Mytilus edulis: one gene and its partner. The protein of the gene in region 1 purifies or fractionates together with the protein of each later gene. This does not show direct contact. Links are inferred from orthologs where the notes say so. Each region holds a gene or a part of one and is shown on either strand. Other genes may lie near its edges.

What was found. The genes of interacting proteins can lie anywhere in the genome.
Region 2: the proteins of sorting nexin-8-like (region 1) and F-box/WD repeat-containing protein 7-like purify together in Homo sapiens (affinity purification with mass spectrometry; 3 studies listed by BioGRID and IntAct, counting the BioPlex papers as one, with this or other methods). This does not show direct contact. The link is inferred for Mytilus edulis from reciprocal best matches to the Homo sapiens genes SNX8 and FBXW7.

Annotation. Positions count from the first base shown.
Region 1 is NC_092352.1:67,331,543-67,342,275, forward strand, and holds the start of sorting nexin-8-like, read right to left. Parts: upstream 4,718-10,733; 5' UTR 4,629-4,717; coding exon 4,598-4,628; intron 4,495-4,597; coding exon 4,370-4,494; intron 2,253-4,369; coding exon 2,120-2,252; intron 1-2,119. UniProt on the Homo sapiens protein: May be involved in several stages of intracellular trafficking. May play a role in intracellular protein transport from early endosomes to the trans-Golgi network.
Region 2 is NC_092351.1:67,279,587-67,290,265, forward strand, and holds the start of F-box/WD repeat-containing protein 7-like, read left to right. Parts: upstream 1-6,304; 5' UTR 6,305-6,394; intron 6,395-8,765; 5' UTR 8,766-8,790; coding exon 8,791-8,895; intron 8,896-9,640; coding exon 9,641-9,759; intron 9,760-10,370; coding exon 10,371-10,635; intron 10,636-10,679. UniProt on the Homo sapiens protein: Substrate recognition component of a SCF (SKP1-CUL1-F-box protein) E3 ubiquitin-protein ligase complex which mediates the ubiquitination and subsequent proteasomal degradation of target proteins.

The DNA of each region.
Region 1 (10,733 bases):
TTCGCAGGGGACACAATTTCGCCGTTTTATAATTTTGAGGTGTAAACACTTCAAATGATGGCTGAAATGGAAGAAATATGCCGATAAATTATAATTTTATAACAAATATGATTATTTTTTTAAACTTAAACAAAATTACGGGACTTACTGCAAAAGATCGAAAAACGGACAACGATTTTCGGTCAATTTCCTGAATGAAAAACAGGATTTTCAAAGATTTTTTTCTTTAGCATTTTTTTGACTGATTGGCCTAAATTTCTGTTTTTTACACCTTGGAAATGTCTGCTGTTCATCTATAATGAAATTTATTTGATAAATATTATAATAATGCTGCAGTTATTTGGTTTTAAATAGATGTGTAAAAACGGCGAATATGCGTCCCCCATTGACAAAACTTCAGGAAATTTCAAACTGTGCGGTGACGGTGACCTTTTAATCTAACTTTACAGATGATTATTTTCAAACAAACATGTTTTCAAGCTTAGGAATGTTTTGCATTTGAAGTTATCTTCATATAGAAATATCAGTATACTTCAAAAACATATAGACCTGAACATAAACTGTAGAAAACATGGAAAGATATGGCGAAAATGAGCACCCCACTCTATATGTTTTAAAAATGTTGACTATTTAATCATTATTTAAATTATAGAAGACAATTACTTTTTTTTTTTAAATAAAATAGTATTAGTACTAGTCAGTTTCACTTGATCTCAGATCTTCATTAACTGGTCACATTTAATTATTAGTTGAGAAGAAAAATAAAGAAACTGAAGAAGGCCAATGGCAGAAATGTCTTGAAAATTGGTTCAATACAAATGTACTACAATTACAATTAACTATGTAAAATTGTCTTGCTTTCAAGTTCCTTTTATAACATCATGAAAAAGGCGACCATACTTGAACGAGAGATACCATCTTTTTGTAGCACATTGGAAAAGTAGGATTTAAGTTTGTCTTCCTATATCATGTATATATCTTGTAAAAATCATAAGAGGTTCTTCATAAAATGTCTGCAATACTTTTAGCTTGATGTCTATATTTAAAAGTCTTAAATTTATACATGTAATATGCGCAAAGTAAAAATGTAAATAAAAGGTCAACTGGGTGTGTTTCCTTGATATAAACCAGATAAATAGTCTGATTTTACCCAACTACTTAGAAGATCACTGAAGGCTAAAGGTATCTAATAGGAAGTTCCACATGTTTTTTTTTAACAAATTTAACTCATGACTCATGTAGTGTCTTATATTACCAGATACTGCACAATGCAAACCATGCAAACTGTATATTTTAAATCATTGATTTTCAAATCAAGGTTTTTGGTGTGAACAGTTTATAAGATTGTCATTTGTGAGTCAACTTCTTAAATAAATGATTTCTAAGAAAGCAGATAAATCAGTATCAGTATCATAAACTCTTTTGAATAAAAATCTGGGGAGGGGGGAGGGTGTTGGTCAGTCATTAACCTTTCAGGATAACTTCATTTTTGAACTTACCTCAACTTTTATCATAATATATTTTGTGAAACATAATAATCACTGTGAAAGAGCTCTTTTTCTACAATAATGGAAACAAAATATTACATGTACATGTATTTAGGGACGACATCAAAAGTTCAATGTAGGATTAAAAACTTAATTCAGATAGTTTTTTCACTGACCCCCCCCCACCCCCCCTCTTAACTTAATTTGGGAAAAATTGATTTACCAATAGGGATATATGTAAAAATCGATTTTAGATTTACAAAACTTTGTAGAATTTTAACCCCCACCCCCAAACTATTTGATTTAAGTTTTTTATCCTACATCAATCTTTTGATGTCGTCCCTTACCCCAAGATCACATGAACATGTTGAAGTAAAACCATGAAGAATACAGCATTTTTCTATTGATCAATACCTTTGGTTTTAGTGAAGTTCATCCTTGCATTTAGCACATAGCAAATTTTTAAGCAATGCTTAACCAAAACGTGTTTGAAACATACATCATGTACATAGATATAGGAAGATATGGTATGAGTGCCAATGAGACAACTCTCCATCCAAATAACAATTTATAAAAGTAACATGTATGAATTGTTCTAATAAAACTTATTTAAACAACATAAACAAGCTTACCTTGACCAGCATAGCTTTCCAGTAGTTTATCATGTATCGTTTTTCCATTCTGAGCAAGAGCTGTAAGGGCCAAAGCTTTGTACAATCCATTTCTATTTACAAATCCTGATTTATTGTCAACTGCATCCCATATCTGAAGAATGGATACAAAAACCTTAGATGTGATTATACACAACTAGTTATTTGAGGCATATCACAAGTTATAACACATGTGTTAATTTGCATAATTTTTCACAAAACAACATGCATCTGACCACATTTGAAATGAACAAGGTTATGCTGCAAAATTTAAATTGACATGTTACAAACTGGCATGACTGGTGTTGATTCATGACATAACAACAGTACAATGTACATGGGTATGTGTCCTTAAAACACAATACTTTGCTAACACTGAGTTATTTCCATGTTCATTGAACTGTAAGGCATCTTTCAAAACCCAATTTACTTTAGCATACATTTACAATGTATCATGTTTATTAATCAAATATTTTACTCCATAATGAACATATGATCTACATATTGTTATGCATGTATGTACAAAGTACCATGTGGACCATTAATTGTTAACAGGGTATAAAAACAGAAATATCAAACTTAACATGAAGAAACCAGAGGGACAGCATTAACAGTCTTGTCGGAATAGACCACTTTCAAGCTCATTACAATTCTGTCAAAAACTTTAATTTTACAAGTGAACATCATTTGTTTGTTTATTATGCTAGCTACAAAAAAACAATGTAGGCATCTTTACTTCAACTGTAAGGCATCTTTCAAAACCCAATTTACTTTAGCATACAGTTATCATGTTTATAATCAAATATTTTACTCCATAATGAACATATGATCTACATATTGTTATGCATGTATGTACATGTACAAAGTAACATGTGTACGATTAATTGTTACGAGGTATAAAAACAGAAATTTCAAACTTGACATGTAGAAACCAGAGGGACAGCATTAACAGTATTGTCTGAATAGACCACTTTCAAGCTCATTGCAATTCTATCAAAAACTTTAATTCAAGTGAACATCAATTGTTTGTTTATAGCTAGCTAGGCATCTTCACTTCAAATGTTGAGCAAATTTCAGGGACCAAATTTTCGGCTCTCCCTTGACAGCAATTTGCGAGTATGGTCTTGGAAAACAGTTATTGTCCATCGGAAGGGGACGATAAATGGCTGACCTGTGTTAAGAGAGAGCCATATCTCTTGCAGTTTAAAGACACCCTTGTAGATTTCGAAAAAGAGCAGGCTAATGCCGCTACAAGGCAGCACTCGCACCCGCAAAGTGGAAAGGGGTTAATATAAGTTGCACAAACTTGTTTCCCAATCCACTATAAATAAATATGTTTAAACTAAATGTTGAGCAATTGATTTAAAAATATGATTCTATATTGCGTGAATTTTTCAGCAAATAAAATTCTTGTAATCGACAACCAGCAGTGCTGTAATTAGGGAATTGTAATAATGTACCTACACAACAAACAGTATATCTTGTTCATCCTGCATATTGAAAATTGCTTAGACACTTGATAAACTTTATTGCTGTAGGTATATCATACAAGGCATACAGGCATACAGGAAACCCCCTTTACCTGGTACATGAATTCAGAAAGGTGTGCATAATTGATGAACTTTTCTGGTGACTAGTATAGGACATAATTCGAAAGTGGTCTATTGGATCAAACAAAACATTTTTTTAAAATGAAATCAAAGTTTTTGTCTGAATATAAACATGATAAACATAATAAACAATGTTACATGATAAAGCTTGTTTACCATTTTACACAACACATCTGTTATTAGCATGAAGTGCAAGGTGATGGAACAATTCTAATTGGTCATGAACAGTTGTAGATAACTTTCAAAAGGTTGTGATACATTTTGTACATATGCAATTGTACATGTACATGTATAAATATCTAAAAGTAAAAACCTAAAATAAATAACATTTTAATAAACATGATAAATGCCTAGATGTAATGCCATAACAACATTAACATGTAAACTCTATGTTTTTATTAATAATTTGCCTTATTTACCTGATGTAAACAATCAGGTGACTATCTACATGTCCAGTACCTAATTAGTAGAGGGGAGTTTCCGGTGTTGACAAAATTAATTAAAGTTGTTCATTTACAGAACATGTGCTTTCTGCAAGGCAATTGTAGTATCAATCAAAATATTTAAAATATTACAGCATTAATATAAATATATAATGGTATAAAATTATTTCAATATTTACTTGAGTAATTGTCGCTCTTGGTAAACTTGATTTCAGTAAAAGGTTGACCAGCAGATCTTCGTCAACCTGTTCTTGGTTAGGACATAAAATCTCGTACACCTCTCGATAAAATGGCGGTACGGACCCTAAGAACGAAAAAGAAAATTGTTAATTTCATTTAAAATCAATTACTTTCTCCAAAAGATGAGCATAAACATAGATCTGTTATGCAACAAGTTAAAAACTTACCGAACGTTAGATCTGCCGACATTTTGTCCATCTAAAAATAGTAATCATGTGACCCTCCTCCCACTATTGAAAATAAAGACAGGTGCGAATCGTAAATTGGCTTTCTCATGAATGTTTTCTTGTTTCTGTTATAAATATCAGAGTGACTGGGTTTATAGTGTAATATAATTTTGTTTATCAATGTTTTTCAAATCTTAACATAACAATCGTCAATCTACGACGTTACTAAATACCATTTTGGTTTAATTTTCATAGAACACGAGTTTACGTAGTATCATGTATTTATAAAGCTGAAATAAGCCGTCAAGGCGGTCCTACGAACAAGCGCCCGGGAGAATAAAATGAAAATATGTTAAAACAAATATAAACAAGAGTATATAGAAGAATCATGAACGATATCGTCCTCGATCAAAACGTATATTTCGTTATTTTAAAAAAATCAGTTACCGAGGTCTAATATTCGCAACTGCATGGTGAACATTCTTCAAAGTTTTGTATTTTATTAAACACACTTGAATTGACATTAGAAGATAGTGGAAGAGTTTCAACATGCTTGTAACTAAGAAAAGTTAAACCCACTGTTAAAGCAAATATGATATTCCGGCCTTGTGGAATATGCCGTAAAAATTGTAAAAAATATTTTTTTTTTAAATCAAAACTGTTTAAACCGCGTCTGTTTATGGGTGATTCAATTTTATTTGTTTTATACCAAATACCTGCTTTTAACATGCATAGTATAATTGCTTTATTTGCCGATGCTGATATACATGTGCGTGTCACTTTTATCGTTCTTAAATAATGTGTAACTCTTTTAATTTTATAAATTAATATGTATCTGTGAAATTTTTAAAAAAGTTGTTTTGACACTTTCAGCAGTCATTTTGTTATCGTTTTTGAAAAAAAAACATATCTTTTGATGTCTATAATATTTTATAAATCTTCAGCATAAGCTGTGATCCATTATTATCTATCTTTTGAAATACTATTCATATTGTTTAATTTGAAACAGTCATATTCTTTTTTTGTGCTTTATTAAAAATGTCTATTATCTGAATTTGCAAAATACTTGTCTAAAATTTAAAAAAAACATCAATGTTCATAACTTATTTCATCGACGCAAAGTTGTCTCATGCCTATATGATTTCTATTTATTTTCCCTAGGCGCATTTTCTTTGCCCCGGGAGTTTTTCTCTCTCCCCCGAGTTATTGAACAAAGTGGTCGAATTTATTTTGCGGAAAATTATGACAAAAAGTCGACACTTAAATTCGGAGATGAGAATTAAGTATTCAAATATCAGCAAAGGTATTCTCAATTTTAAGCAGACCGTCTTTGAATTTTTAGTTCTGATATCGATTATTGAATATTCTGTCAAAAAATCGAATTTTGAAATAATAAAAAAAACACTCTGTAAATATTAGATCAATTGGGCAATCATTTACCTTGGTACAGTGTATCCAAATTCATTATATTTTGAACATACATGCATCTTTTCTTTTGTTGACAAGTATATATATGGCTCACATTAACAGGGCTCAATTTTCAAATCCATCAATTATCTGCCTAAAATGGAGCATGGACGCATTGGTCAATCTACTCGGCTTTTAATCACTGAAATGGCTTTGAAGAAAATCGGACCTTAAAAACATATATTTCATAAATAGTGGTACGATCGTTGGCAAATATATGTATATTTTGTAAGAGAATCAGATTAGTTTGTTTTGCAAATATGAGAAAAATTAAGACTCCCGCCGCGAAACTGCAGTCTCAAACAGTTAAGTGTTTCTAATCCTGATCTGTGTGTAGAGAGCATGGCACTCACTCTCAAAGGAGTATGTTTCCGACCGAAGGCGTATATATTTATATATTCTGAGTGCAGAGTGCAGAATATATATATATATGAGAGCCCAGGTGGTCGTGTGGTCTAGCGGGACGGCTGCAGTGCAGGCGATTTGGTGTCACGATATCACAGTAGTATGGGTTCGAATCCCGGCGAGGGAAGAACCAAAAATCTGCGAAAGCAAATTTACAGATCTAACATTGTTGGGTTGATGTTTAGACGCGTTGTATATATATTCTGCACTCAGTCGGCAAACGAATAATTATAATATTCAAGATAAATCAATCAAAAAATGCAAAAATACCTTAAAATTACCTATTCAGGTGCGGCAAACCAAAAACGGGTTCTCTGATGCGTCTGAAAATTGTATAGTAGATAGATCTTGACCTGATGAACATTGTTATCCAATGTCAGATTTTCTTTAAATGCTTTAGTTTCAGATATATAAACCAAAAACTGCATTTTCCCCATGTTCTATTTTTAGCCATAGCGGCCATCTTGGTTGATGGTCGGGGTCATAGGATACATTTTTAAACTAAATACCCTTAGGATTATTTAGGGCAAATTTGGTTTTAATTGGCTCAGTAGTTTCAAAGAACACGGATGCCAAGTGATAAGAAAAGCTCATTTGGCCCTTTTGTGCAAGGTGTGCAAAAAATTAATGCACTCCTGTATTCCGATGATCAATCTCACATGTGAAATTTTGGCAGCTTTTAAGAGTAGGCATGCATACTTAAGAGTTCTCAGTGTGTATAATGTTACAAATGTTGTGCATGTCTCACAAATAAAAATATGTATTGTTTAGAGGTGCTGAACTGTACAACTATATGAAATGTAAAATTGTCCTATTGTTTGTCAGCGAATTTAGACATTTTGTTTCTCAATTGAAGTTAAAACATAATATTATTTGGTGATTTCATATTTTCAAAAGTGTATTCAAGTGAACATCACAACTGTTAGATATCAAGACATGTATACATAAAAATAAGTGACTTTTGAACTTTTAACAACGTAAGTTAATGACTTTTGAACTTTACAGTATTATGCATGATGTAGTGTTTGCCATGTTTGACCGTGTCTTAAAGCGGAAAAACCACTGTATCGTCGATTTTGCATGGTATCTGTCAACTTCCGAAGCAATGTTATCGACTCACCGGACATTTCCGAAGTCCTGCGTTTAATTGATTGCCGTGTTTATGAGCTTCGTTCCTTGCTTGGAAGTTGGGTATCTGTATATTTAAAATGTTACGGTTTCGCCGACACATAGCGCTTTGTCACAGTCGAGAAATTAATTTTATTTTTGGTTTTAACGGAGAATGTTTATTTACAGATTAAATATATAAAACATATATATTGGTGTTGTATTGTACAATTTTAAACGTATACAGTATTTTCTATATATTTTGTGCACAGTACAGTATATAGTTTTGTTTATAACAACCAACAAGTATCGTTACCATTGTTCTGTTTGTCATAACAAATACTACAAATGAATGTGTGTCATCTGTTGGTACAAATAATTTCTGTATTAATTTCCGGTTTTTCAAATGGACCGATTTTTTTTTTAATACAAGTGGACTTTTGAGTGTTAACAACAAATCCAGATCACGTTGCTTTCAAACTTCTAGCACACCCGATGGATGTTCAGGCAATACTCGTGAGCAAAAACATTAACTTGTGATCAGAGAGCCACCATTTATTTTGATGTTCTGGGTGTGTGTGTGGTCGTCGGGGCGAATCTTTATATTCATGATCATTTTTTTAAGGCTTATTGTATACATTAGAGTTCGTGTTCTGCATTTTGTGTTGCCGAATATTGCATTCTGTCCTTAATATGCAAAATTATTTATTTGTCAGGTCTTACAATTAAGTTATTCATTCCTCCCCTTCCCATAAACAATTAAATGGTATTAAATAAAATCTGTAAATTGTTATTACTATTTCAACTGCTTTTGTCCAGAAACTAGCTTTATCGTCGGGTTAAACACTGTCAGGGAGTGTACAATTTTATATATAGCATTTGAGTATCAAATTGGCTTCTTGACCTTTGAGCTGTTTGATAACCCGTTCCAAAATATATAACTGACTGACATTCAACGTCATGTAAAACTTGCATGCAACGGACCCTTATGACCGTGTTATAATAATTCTGTGACTTACTATTTGTCTTGTGTTTCATTTTTTTGCTTGACTTGCAGATACTATCCTTCGATCTTTACTTTATATTCTCGCGAATAAAAATGCAATAAAATTCTAGGAGTCAGAAAACCCGCATCTGTCATTTTTTGCCTTGTTGATTTGTATATTGCTGAATAAAATTTATTAATGCCAGTAATAATTATGACAATTGCCATAAGTGAATTGTGTTTAACCCTTCAGTGCCACCGTCATCTTGCCTTCGTTTAGCTTGGCCGTATATATTTAATTTTAATTTCCTGTCATTTAATAGGGGTTGCAATGCAATAGCGGTTATATCTAAATACTTTTATAGGATATAACGTTTACAGTAGATGTTCAATTCATTCAACTTATGATGCTATATATTTGGCAAGTTAATTGTATGAAAGGCGAATTCCGTCATTTGATTTCATATGGAATGAAGCAACCCATACCGTATGAAAACAACTACAAATCTCCGCCATACTATTTACCAAAACAGCTTTTTCAATTTCGCATTGTTGGTGTGCTGATCATGAGTGCAATCAATTATTCATAATAAACGCATTGTTCTTCGATTGAAAATATATTGCTAGTGAACAATAATAGTTGAACTACATGTACAAATGACATATAAAAAAAATGTTAATAATAAAACATGTACAATAATCATTGTAGACTCCCACAAGTTTGATAAATATTTCCCAAAACTATCATGACATGATATATAAGAAACCGTTCTAACACTGTCCGTTTATGAATTTCGAAATTATAAAGAAACTAAGCCGAGTAAAATGGATTATTCAGAAAATTGTGTCTACTATTTACAACGTTTTTTTTTTTTTTTTGGCAGCAAATGAAAAAAAAATAGTTTTGAGAGGTTCAACTTATCATTTTTTTAGAACCGAAGTCAGACAAATTATGATCTTATAAAAAATGCCATGTGGGATGGAACCATAATATGTATATGTTGTGTACAAGTTGTAATGTTGTACAAATTATAATTTGTACAGAATTTTTGTACAAGTTATCAGTGTTTTATGACCTGCTGAACAAAAATAGATGATGCAAGCACACAGTCTTTTAATCCGCATATTTCTGTCAATTTTTCACAACTTCATGATACAGTCTAATACTGAGCATTGATACAGAAACATTATAAGACCTCACAAAGATTTTGTATAGATATGAATATGGTATAAGGAAAAAAATAAAATTAGAATTTAAACCAGTCAGGTATCCTCATTTACAGTTTGAAGGCAAGGAGAATAGCACTAAATGTTAGGTTGACGTATGTTTTTTTGAATTTAAAACATTACACTGGTAAATTTTATAAGTTAAACCTGTATCACCTGTTGCAAGAAGGTAGGTGTCAAAAAACTTATAACTTGTACAAAAACCCTGTACAAATTATAATTTGTACAAACTTACATCTTGTACACAACATATATATTCATGACAAAAGAATAAGATCATACAAAAAAAAGAATAAAGCAGACAGTATTAACATTGTCAATTTAAGTTTTAGGTTTGAATTTAAAATTATTGTATTTGTAATATAAATTATCTAAAACGTCTTCCAAAAAAATTAAAGATGATTAATTGCTCATTGTCACTGTTTTTTCCCCCTGCAATGAATTAGACCCTTGGAGCGGAGTCGTACATTTGAAGAGCGTTTGGTATATGGACATATGGTCAAGAACTGTTATAGAAAATAAAAGAATCGATTGAAAGCATTACATCAGTATTAACACTGTAACGTGAAACAAGAGAGACATTAGGAACATATATTTTGTTGGCCGATCCGGTCTACATAAAATCTGTCTTGTACAGGCGGGTGACAATAACCAATTACAACAAATACCTAGTTAAGAAGAGTTTTACTGCTGAACAGAATGTCAAATATATTTTGTTTTGTTTCAAAGAAAAATTAAAACCATTTTTCCTAAATCAAAGTTGTTTTGTATTAATATTTGTAAAAACATTGCGTATTTCTTTCACAAAGTGCAAATGAAATACTGTAACCAAGGAAATAAATTTTAAAAAAAACAACACCCATAACCCGATGTATAGACTTCTGTGAAAAAATCAAAAAACATTTCATCAACGTGTTTTTGTGTTTTTGAAATTGTTATAATTGT
Region 2 (10,679 bases), on another chromosome or scaffold:
CAAGATTAACTGTCTTGTACGTCAATGTACCAAACTAACTGTTTGACTAAGACTGTGTTCACATTGATCATAACTCAATGGAAATATGAGCAAGATTAACTGTCTTGTACGTCAATGTACCAAACTAACTTTATGTCTAAGGCTGTTATCACATTGACCTTAACTCAATGGAAATAAGAGCAAGAGTAAGTGTCTTGTACGTCAATGTACCAAACTAACTCTATGTCTAAGGCTGTGTTCACATTGACCTTAACTCAATGGAAATAAGAGCAAGAGTAAGTGTCTTGTACGTCAATGTACCAAACTAACTTTATGTCTAAGGCTGTGTTCACATTGACCTTAACTCAATGGAAATATGAGCAAGAGTAAGTGTCTTGTACGTCAATGTACCAAACTAACTTTATGTCTAAGGCTGTGTTCCTATTGACCTTAACTCAATGGAAATATGAGCAAGATTAACTGTCTTGTACGTCAATGTACCAAACTAACTTTATGTCTAAGGCTGTGTTCCCATTGACCTTAACTCAATGGAAATATGAGCAAGAGTAACTGTCTTGTACGTCAATGTACCAAACTAACTGTTTGACTAAGACTGTGTTCACATTGACCTTAACTCAATGGAAATATGAGCAAGAGTAACTGTCTTGTGCGTCAATGTACCAAACTAACTTTATGTCTAAGGCTGTGTTCCCATTGACCTTAACTCAATGGAAATATGAGCAAGAGTAACTGTCTTGTGCGTCAATGTACCAAACTAACTTTATGTCTAAGGCTGTGTTCCCATTGACCTTAACTCAATGGAAATATGAGCAAGAGTAACTGTCTTGTACGTCAATGTACCAAACTAACTGTTTGACTAAGACTGTGTTCACATTGACCTTAACTCAATGGAAATATGAGCAAGAGTAACTGTCTTGTACGTCAATGTACCAAACTAACTTTATGTCTAAGGCTGTGTTCACATTGACCTTAACTCAATGGAAATATGAGCAAGAGTAAGTGTCTTGTACATCAATGTACCAAACTAACTTTATGTCTAAGGCTGTGTTCCCATTGACCTTAACTCAATGGAAATATGAGCATGAGTAACTGTCTTGTACGTCAATGTACCAAACTAACTTTATGTCTAAGGCTGTGTTCACATTGACCTTAACTCAATGGAAATATGAGCAAGAGTAACTGTCTTGTGCGTCAATGTACCAAACTAACTTTATGTCTAAGGCTGTGTTCACATTGACCTTAACTCAATGGAAATATGAGCATGAGTAACTGTCTTGTACGTCAATGTACCAAACTAACTTTATGTCTAAGGCTGTGTTCCCATTGACCTTAACTCAATGGAAATATGAGCAAGAGTAACTGTCTTGTGCGTCAATGTACCAAACTAACTTTATGTCTAAGGCTGTGTTCCCATTGACCTTAACTCAATGGAAATATGAGCAAGAGTAACTGTCTTGTACGTCAATGTACCAAACTAACTGTTTGACTAAGACTGTGTTCACATTGACCTTAACTCAATGGAACTATGAGCAAGAGTAACTGTCTTGTACATCAATGTACCAAATTAACTTTATGTCTAAGGCTGTGTTCACATTGACCTTAACTCAATGGAAATATGAGCAAGAGTAACTGTCTTGTACGTCAATGTACCAAACTAACTGTTTGACTAAGGCTGTGTTCACATTGATCTTAACTGAATGGAAATATGAGCAAGAGTAACTGTCTTGTACGTCAATGTACCAAACTAACTGTTTGACTAAGACTGTGTTCACATTGACCTTAACTCAATGGAAATATGAGCATGAGTAACTGTCTTGTACGTCAATGTACCAAACTAACTGTTTGACTAAGGCTGTGTTCACATTGACCTTAACTCAATGGAAATATGAGCAAGAGTAACTGTCTTGTATGTCTATGTACCAAACTAACTTTATGTCTAAGGCTGTGTTCACATTGACCTTAACTCAATGGAACTATGAGCAAGAGTAAATGTCCTGTGCGTCAATGTACCAAACTAACTTTATGTCTAAGGCTGTGTTCACATTGAACTTAACTCAATGGAACTATGAGCAAGAGTAACTGTCTTGTACGTCAATGTACCAAACTTACTTTATGTCTAAGGCTGTGTTCACATTGACCTTAACTCAATGGAAATATGAGCAAGATTAACTGTCTTGTACGTCAATGTACCAAACTAACTTTATGTCTAAGGCTGTGTTCACATTGACCTTAACTCAATGGAAATATGAGCAAGAGTAAGTGTCTTGTACGTCAATGTACCAAACTAACTGTTTGACTAAGGCTGTGTTCACATTGACCTTAACTCAATGGAAATATGAGCAAGATTAACTGTCTTGTACGTCAATGTATCAAACTAACTGTTTGACTAAGACTGTGTTCACATTGACCTTAACTCAATGGAACTATGAGCAAGAGTAAGTGTCTTGTACGTCAATGTACCAAACTAACTTTATGTCTAAGGCTGTGTTCACATTGACCTTAACTCAATGGAAATATGAGCAAGAGTAAGTGTCTTGTACGTCAATGTACCAAACTAACTTTATGTCTAAGGCTGTGTTCCTATTGACCTTAATTCAATGGAAATATGAGCAAGAGTAACTGTCTTGTACGTCAATGTACCAAACTAACTTTATGTCTAAGGCTGTGTTCACATTGACCTTAACTCAATGGAAATATGAGCAAGAGTAAGTGTCTTGTACATCAATGTACCAAACTAACTTTATGTCTAAGGCTGTGTTCCCATTGACCTTAACTCAATGGAAATATGAGCATGAGTAACTGTCTTGTACGTCAATGTACCAAACTAACTTTATGTCTAAGGCTGTTTTCACATTGACCTTAACTCAATGGAAATATGAGCAAGAGTAACTGTCTTGTGCGTCAATGTACCAAACTAACTTTATGTCTAAGGCTGTGTTCCCATTGACCTTAACTCAATGGAAATATGAGCAAGAGTAACTGTCTTGTGCGTCAATGTACCAAACTAACTTTATGTCTAAGGCTGTGTTCCCATTGACCTTAACTCAATGGAAATATGAGCATGAGTAACTGTCTTGTACGTCAATGTACCAAACTAACTTTATGTCTAAGGCTGTGTTCACATTGACCTTAACTCAATGGAAATATGAGCAAGAGTAAGTGTCTTGTACATCAATGTACCAAACTAACTTTATGTCTAAGGCTGTGTTCACATTGACCTTAACTCAATGGAAATATGAGCAAGAGTAAGTGTCTTGTACATCAATGTACCAAACTAACTTTATGTCTAAGGCTGTGTTCCCATTGACCTTAACTCAATGGAAATATGAGCATGAGTAACTGTCTTGTACGTCAATGTACCAAACTAACTTTATGTCTAAGGCTGTGTTCACATTGACCTTAACTCAATGGAAATATGAGCAAGAGTAACTGTCTTGTGCGTCAATGTACCAAACTAACTTTATGTCTAAGGCTGTGTTCCCATTGACCTTAACTCAATGGAAATATGAGCAAGAGTAACTGTCTTGTGCGTCAATGTACCAAACTAACTTTATGTCTAAGGCTGTGTTCCCATTGACCTTAACTCAATGGAAATATGAGCAAGAGTAACTGTCTTGTACGTCAATGTACCAAACTAACTGTTTGACTAAGACTGTGTTCACATTGACCTTAACTCAATGGAACTATGAGCAAGAGTAACTGTCTTGTACATCAATGTACCAAATTAACTTTATGTCTAAGGCTGTGTTCACATTGACCTTAACTCAATGGAAATATGAGCAAGAGTAACTGTCTTGTACGTCAATGTACCAAACTAACTGTTTGACTAAGACTGTGTTCACATTGACCTTAACTCAATGGAACTATGAGCAAGAGTAACTGTCTTGTACATCAATGTACCAAATTAACTTTATGTCTAAGGCTGTGTTCACATTGACCTTAACTCAATGGAAATATGAGCAAGAGTAACTGTCTTGTACGTCAATGTACCAAACTAACTGTTTGACTAAGACTGTGTTCACATTGACCTTAACTCAATGGAAATATGAGCAAGATTAACTGTCTTGTACGTCAATGTACCAAACTAACTTTATGTCTAAGGCTGTGTTCACATTGAACTTAACTCAATGGAACTATGAGCAAGAGTAACTGTCTTGTACGTCAATGTACCAAACTTACTTTATGTCTAAGGCTGTGTTCACATTGACCTTAACTCAATGGAAATATGAGCAAGATTAACTGTCTTGTACGTCAATGTACCAAACTAACTTTATGTCTAAGACTGTATTCACATTGACCTTAACTCAATGGAAATATGAGCAAGAGTAACTGTCTTGTACGTCAATGTACCAAACTAACTTTATGTCTAAGGCTGTGTTCACATTGACCTTAACTCAATGGAAATATGAGCAAGAGTAACTGTCTTGTACGTCAATGTACCAAACTAACTTTATGTCTAAGGCTGTGTTCACATTGACCTTAACTCAATGGAACTATGAGCAAGAGTAACTGTCTTGTACATCAATGTACCAAACTAACTTTATGTCTAAGACTGTGTTCACATTGACCTTAACTCAATGGAAATATGAGCAAGAGTAAGTGTCTTGTACGTCAATGTACCAAACTAACTTTATGTCTAAGGCTGTTTTCCCATTGACCTTAACTCAATGGAAATAAGAGCAAGAGTAACAGGCATGCATGTACATCAATGTAACAAAACTTACGCCTTGACTAAAGCTGTGTTCACTTTGAGCTCAACTTGATGGAGATATTTTCAAGACTAACGGGCATGTACATCATAGAAACGAAACTAACCTTATGACTATGATGTGTTCACACTCACTAACTCAATGGAAATATAAGAAAGAGTAACAGGCATGTACAAAAACTAACTCTGTGACTAAGGCTGTGTCCAAACTGACCTTAATTAAATGGAAATATGAGCTAGAGTAGCAGGCATGTGTATGTTTACTTGTTTTTTTTTTGTTAATAAGTCTTTTTGTTTGAGTCAAACCCTTTCAATTGATATTTTATAGTGTGTCTTTCTATGTTGTTCTGTTACACTAATATTTCGGGTTAGGGTGAAGTTTGGTGTCTGTTAAAACGTTTAAACCTGCTGCATTCGTTTGCACCAGTTGAACTTCAAGAATCTGTTCAGTGGTTGTCTTTTGTTAATGTGGTTCGTGATTGTTTCTTGTTTCTCATTTTCAATTTTTATATAGAGTAGATCCTTGGTTTTTTCTGTTTGAATTGTTTTAAACTAGTCATTCTAGGGTCCTATATAGCTTGCTGTTCAATGTGAGTCAAGGCTCCGCGTTGAAAGCCTTACTTTGACCTATACTAGTTTTACTTTTTACACATTTTGAAAGACTTGGATGTAGAGTTGTCTCAATGGCACTCGTACCACATCTTCTTATTTCATTTTACATCAATGTAATAAAACTCTTCTCGTTGGCTATTTACAAGCTGTGTTGGCCCATATGGGCGTAAAGTGCTTTTCAATAAAGTTTATAAATTATATATATATCTATATTTATGTCAAATATATTATGTAAAAAAATTGTTTAAAACACCAAAATAGTTAAAAAGGAAAACTTAAATAAAGTTAAATTATATACATCATAGAAGGCTATATTGCTTATGTGTTCGTTTCAATTAATAATAGATATAATTGTTATGCCTTTTTTCTCTAATATGTGTGTGGCTCTGATCTGGCTGTGGTTTAACATCTAAGAATTGAGATTCATATTTATATATGATTTATATCAGCATTATTGTGTCAGTTATAAAAATCATTGTAATAAATTACTTTGCTCTTCGTGGTCCCTTTAATTGGAATAAAAAATATTTTATCTTTATTTAATTATCTCATTAATAACGTGTTGCTTTCTTTCTGTTGCGTCTTATTTATGTAATGATAATCAAGGATATACAAATCCTTCATGTAATTTAAAAGCGCTGTAGACACAGACACTATGGCTGTAGAGCTTATCTTATGCCTGTGTTTTGTTGACCATGCCTACTCTACAACATATTTATTTGTATTTTTTTATTAAGTATATAATATCTTTATTGCTAACGTATGTCACAAGTTCATGATTTACTGAAAAAAAAAGTGAAGATGTGATATTTTTTTATTATTCTTATTAATTATTTGCTTGCCACAATATTTACAACTGAACATCAAAGATTTGTATAGACTTTAGTACATCTAAATTCGTGTACACATATATCAAGTGTTCGAGTAGGTACGTTGTCAAGTTCTTTTTGGTTTATAGACCTATTTTCAGATTCGGCTATTTTCGTCACTCTCCGTCTATCATCGATAAATAAATATGGCGATGGAACGGATAAAGTTCTCCTACGTAAACACTACAAATCGCCCCCATTTCAGGTAGGACAACGGCCTTGCTATGCCACAGTATCAATATTAAAGCATATAGTTTCACGTTTCTTTGCTAGATCCAGTTTCTCTGTCGGATTTGCATGGCAATCAAACAGCTGATTAATGTTACGCGGCCACGACCCTTTTTTGTTCGATTTTAGATATTTTTCTTGACATTGATCGCGTGGTTATCAACTTAATCTAGGGAAAACTAAGATGATCAGAAATCAAATTATGATTTGTTTTAAGCAATGTTTTATATTGTATTACACAGACAGTCGAGTATACTAACTACATGAAATACAATAAGTATAAAGGTTGCCTTTTTGAAGGTATTGATTCGTTGTTGAACTTCAAAGAAAACAAGACACCATACCGTGATGGTTCAATAAACTTTACGTTAACCACAGTCTCTACCCATTTATTTAATTCCTTCTAACTTAAAGCATATCTTTCTAATCCTGCTAATCTACATGTAGGGGGAGAAATATACCAATGGGAAAATCAACTTACATCATGTACATTTAAGGACAAAGAAAAGTCATGACTGAAAGAAATATCTGTACATGTTCAGGTCATAATAACAAGTACTGGCTTTTATACAATGAGTTGTAGGTGTCAGTTTGTGTGGGCAGATTAAATGCTCTTAATAAAAAGACTTGCACTTGTCAATGCTTGTTGTGCGCACAACTAGTTCTAGATGGTACTAGTTGATTATAATTTGTGGACACAAAGAGAGTTGGTACATATGTAGTCCAAATAATTATGACGTCTGGCAAGGCTATTTTAATTTTTTTCTGGGACGCCTTCGTTGTAGGAAGGCGTCCCAGAAAAAAATTAAAAATAGCCTTGCCAGACGTCATAATTATTTGGACTAGTACATATGATACATGGTTTTATCTAGCTAATTTTTATGCCCCACCTACGATAGTAGAGGGGCATTATGTTTTCTGATCTGTGGCCCCTTTCGTTCATCCGTTCGTTCGTTCTTCCCGCTTCAGGTTAACTTGAAACTTAGTACACATGTTCCCTATAGTATAATCTTTCTAATTTTAATACCAAATTATATATTTACCCAATTTCAAAGTCCTTGGAACATGGAAAATGATAGTGCGAGTGGGGCATCTGTGTACTTGGGACACATTCTTGTTAGTTTTAGTCTGGATCAATAGCAGGAACCTGCCCCTCAACCACTGTGTACCCAAATATAAGCTTTTTGTATGTGCATCTAAATGTATGCTGTAGTTTTTGTAATTTGTAAGTTTGACAAGGATTTTGTTATGCATCCATCTTTTCTTGTCTTAAGTTATTAAATATTTTGAACCTTTCTAGCTTGTTTGTGGCTGTTCATGCTATGCTGTTGCTGCATCTTCCATTGTTGAGTGTACTTGTGAAATGTTAGCAGTTTTCTTACCAAACAAATGAAAGTTTTTAACGACCTTGACTGGCTATACAGCCCTTGTACCAGTTCTTACCATTCATGCGGACAGTACATGTAAATGTACCTTAGGTTCCTTCTCAGAAAACTTAGGGTTGAATTTGCCTTATTTGCAACAGTTATTATGACTTTTTGTGTGTGCTTTACTTCAGATCTTCTGATATTTGTTTTCCTAGGTGTGAGTTGTTGGAGAATGTGTCCATTTAGCATATTAAATCTCTAGCTTTTGTTTTTAAAGCATATATAACAATGTAACATTTTTTTCCATTAAATAATTGAAATCGCATTCCCCAGTTGTTTATCAATCTTCTTGTAGTTCTAAGTTTGTGGTCTTTTTTCTATTTTGATGGTTCTATACAGTATTCAGTTGCTAGCAAACAGCCTTACAGAAGGTGTTACAGTGTTCAGGAGGTCAGTTATGTGAATAAAGAAGAGATAGGGTACAAGTAAATGAGGAGACTTTTAACAGGTCATGAAACAATAACAGAATTCACACAAGATAACATTTTTGATGACATTTTTTGGTGTTTTTTTTCTCCTCATAGGATAAGTAACATTTAGTATGTCTTCATAATTCTGGTATACACTGGATGACTGTCGATGAACATTGATCTTTTTGATAAATTAATACATGATTCCTATACTTTGTTTCTATTGTGAAGTACATGTGAAGTATAAATCCTAATCCTTTGAAATTGATAAAAACATTGACATGACTGGCCTTAAAGTGATGTACAAATGTATCTTGTATCATGGGTTTTAGTGCTATTGAGAATGCACCATGACATCACAATTTCCCTCAAAAAAGGTACAAATATGATCTGGTGCTTTAATTATATACAATATGTGCTTGTTTTTCCGACATCATATTTATTATTACAAATTATGTATTGCATGCTGACGACCTAACTTTACATTCATGATATTGATAATGTTTTACAGAAAATAAAGATGATTGGCTGTGATAATGGCAAGCAAGAAAATAGATATCAACAAGGCTAGTGTAGAAGACTTTGAAAAAGTAAATGGTATTGGTTTAAGAAAAGCAAAAGCTATCATCAAATACAGGAAGGTCAGTTTTTCTCATGGTCATTATTTTAAATTTCTTGAAAAGTGGACATTAAAAGTATTTACATATTGTCAAGCCTGGGCACTATAGCTTCTTATTATACAGTTTTTGTTTTACTCATTGTTGAGGGCCTAACAGTGTCTTACAGTTGTGTACACTTTACAAATTTGTTTCATTTGTAATTTTACTACAAATTCAAATAGGTATGCACTTTAATTGGCTTTTAGTTATATAAAACTGTCTATATAAAAAGATGTGGTACATGTATGATTGCCAATGAAAAAAACTCCACCTGTGACAGTCAAACCAAATGACGTCAAAGGAAGCAACAAATGGTCATTGTATGACCTTCAATAATGATCAAATCTCAAAACACATTGCAAACTACAACAGACCCCATTGTTTATATACATGTATGCAGATCGGCACATCAAACTTTAGGCTCTTTGCTTTCTAGCTTATAGATTCAAAACAAATGAAACTTAACATACATACATACATACTTGTAGATTGAGAGAAAGGGGGCAAGCAACAAGTGCAAATCATAGGTTTTAAAACAGATCAAAGAATTTTAAGATTGGAATGAGTCTAAGAACAACAGCTTTGGAATTTGAGTAACCTGAATTTTGATACCTTTTTTCTGAAATTTTTTCAGCTGAAATAATTTACAATTCTATTAATTGTATACTTCAAAGTAACCTATTTGGCACAGTACATTTTTAAAGATTTGCCATATAATTTATTGCAGTCATTTGGAGGTTTCTCAACCGTAAAGGATTTGAGTAGTGTCCCAGGAGTTGGGGATTGTATTGTGGAACAAAGTCGTACTCAGTTGACATGTAGTAACCGCAAACGCAAAGCTGTCAGGTAATTTATATACTTAAATACAGTATACTACATTGTACAAAATACTAAATCTATAATTGGATAAGCTTTTGAAACTGGAGGAAAAGCATGGGTTGTATTTTTAACTGTCTCATAACAAGTACAAATTTTACATTTGATATTTTCTGACAATGCATGTATATTATTTTTTTTATGAAAAAGAGGGAGATTTTGCACTTACAACATACAACATTTCGAAGTTAGATATATAACCGGTTAACATATTCATCTACAAAGCACCAATAACATTTAAAAAGTATACTTTATCTCTTCAATTCATGATTTTGTGCAAGTGCTTCCCAATCAAAATGGTAGGTTTGGCAGGTATGAGTGAAATATTTGTCAGGTTACATAACATTGTATGTAATTGAAAATAATTCAATAAAAGTTTCTTACTTTTATTTTGAACATTTAAAAAAAATGAAACTTTCAGTTGTTGGGCTTTTTTTTCAAATTTTTAGTTCAAAAGGAATGTGGCATGTATTATAAATAAACTTGCATGCCATGTAAAAAATGCATGTTTAAAAAAAAAATGGTACTTTTATGTTTTGTTCATTAAATATGATGTATGATTATTCAACTTATTTTTTCAGGACACCTAAAGTAAAAGATAATGTTTGTAAGGAACAGCCATCATCTAGTGGGTTATCAGCCAGATCTATCAGACACAATCAACGAGCACTGTTCAAATCAACAGAGGAACATGTTGATGATGGTAACAGTATTGTATCCCACGAAGGTCACATGTCAGAGGAAGAGTCTGGCGATGAGGTTATGTTCCGTGAAGAAGACAGGTCTAATGCTCAACATAAATCTAGGATTCCTATACCAGTCAATGGACTCTTCAGTAGCCATGTGGTTAGCATCTTACAAATTATTGTCTGTAAACCATCTTATCTTAG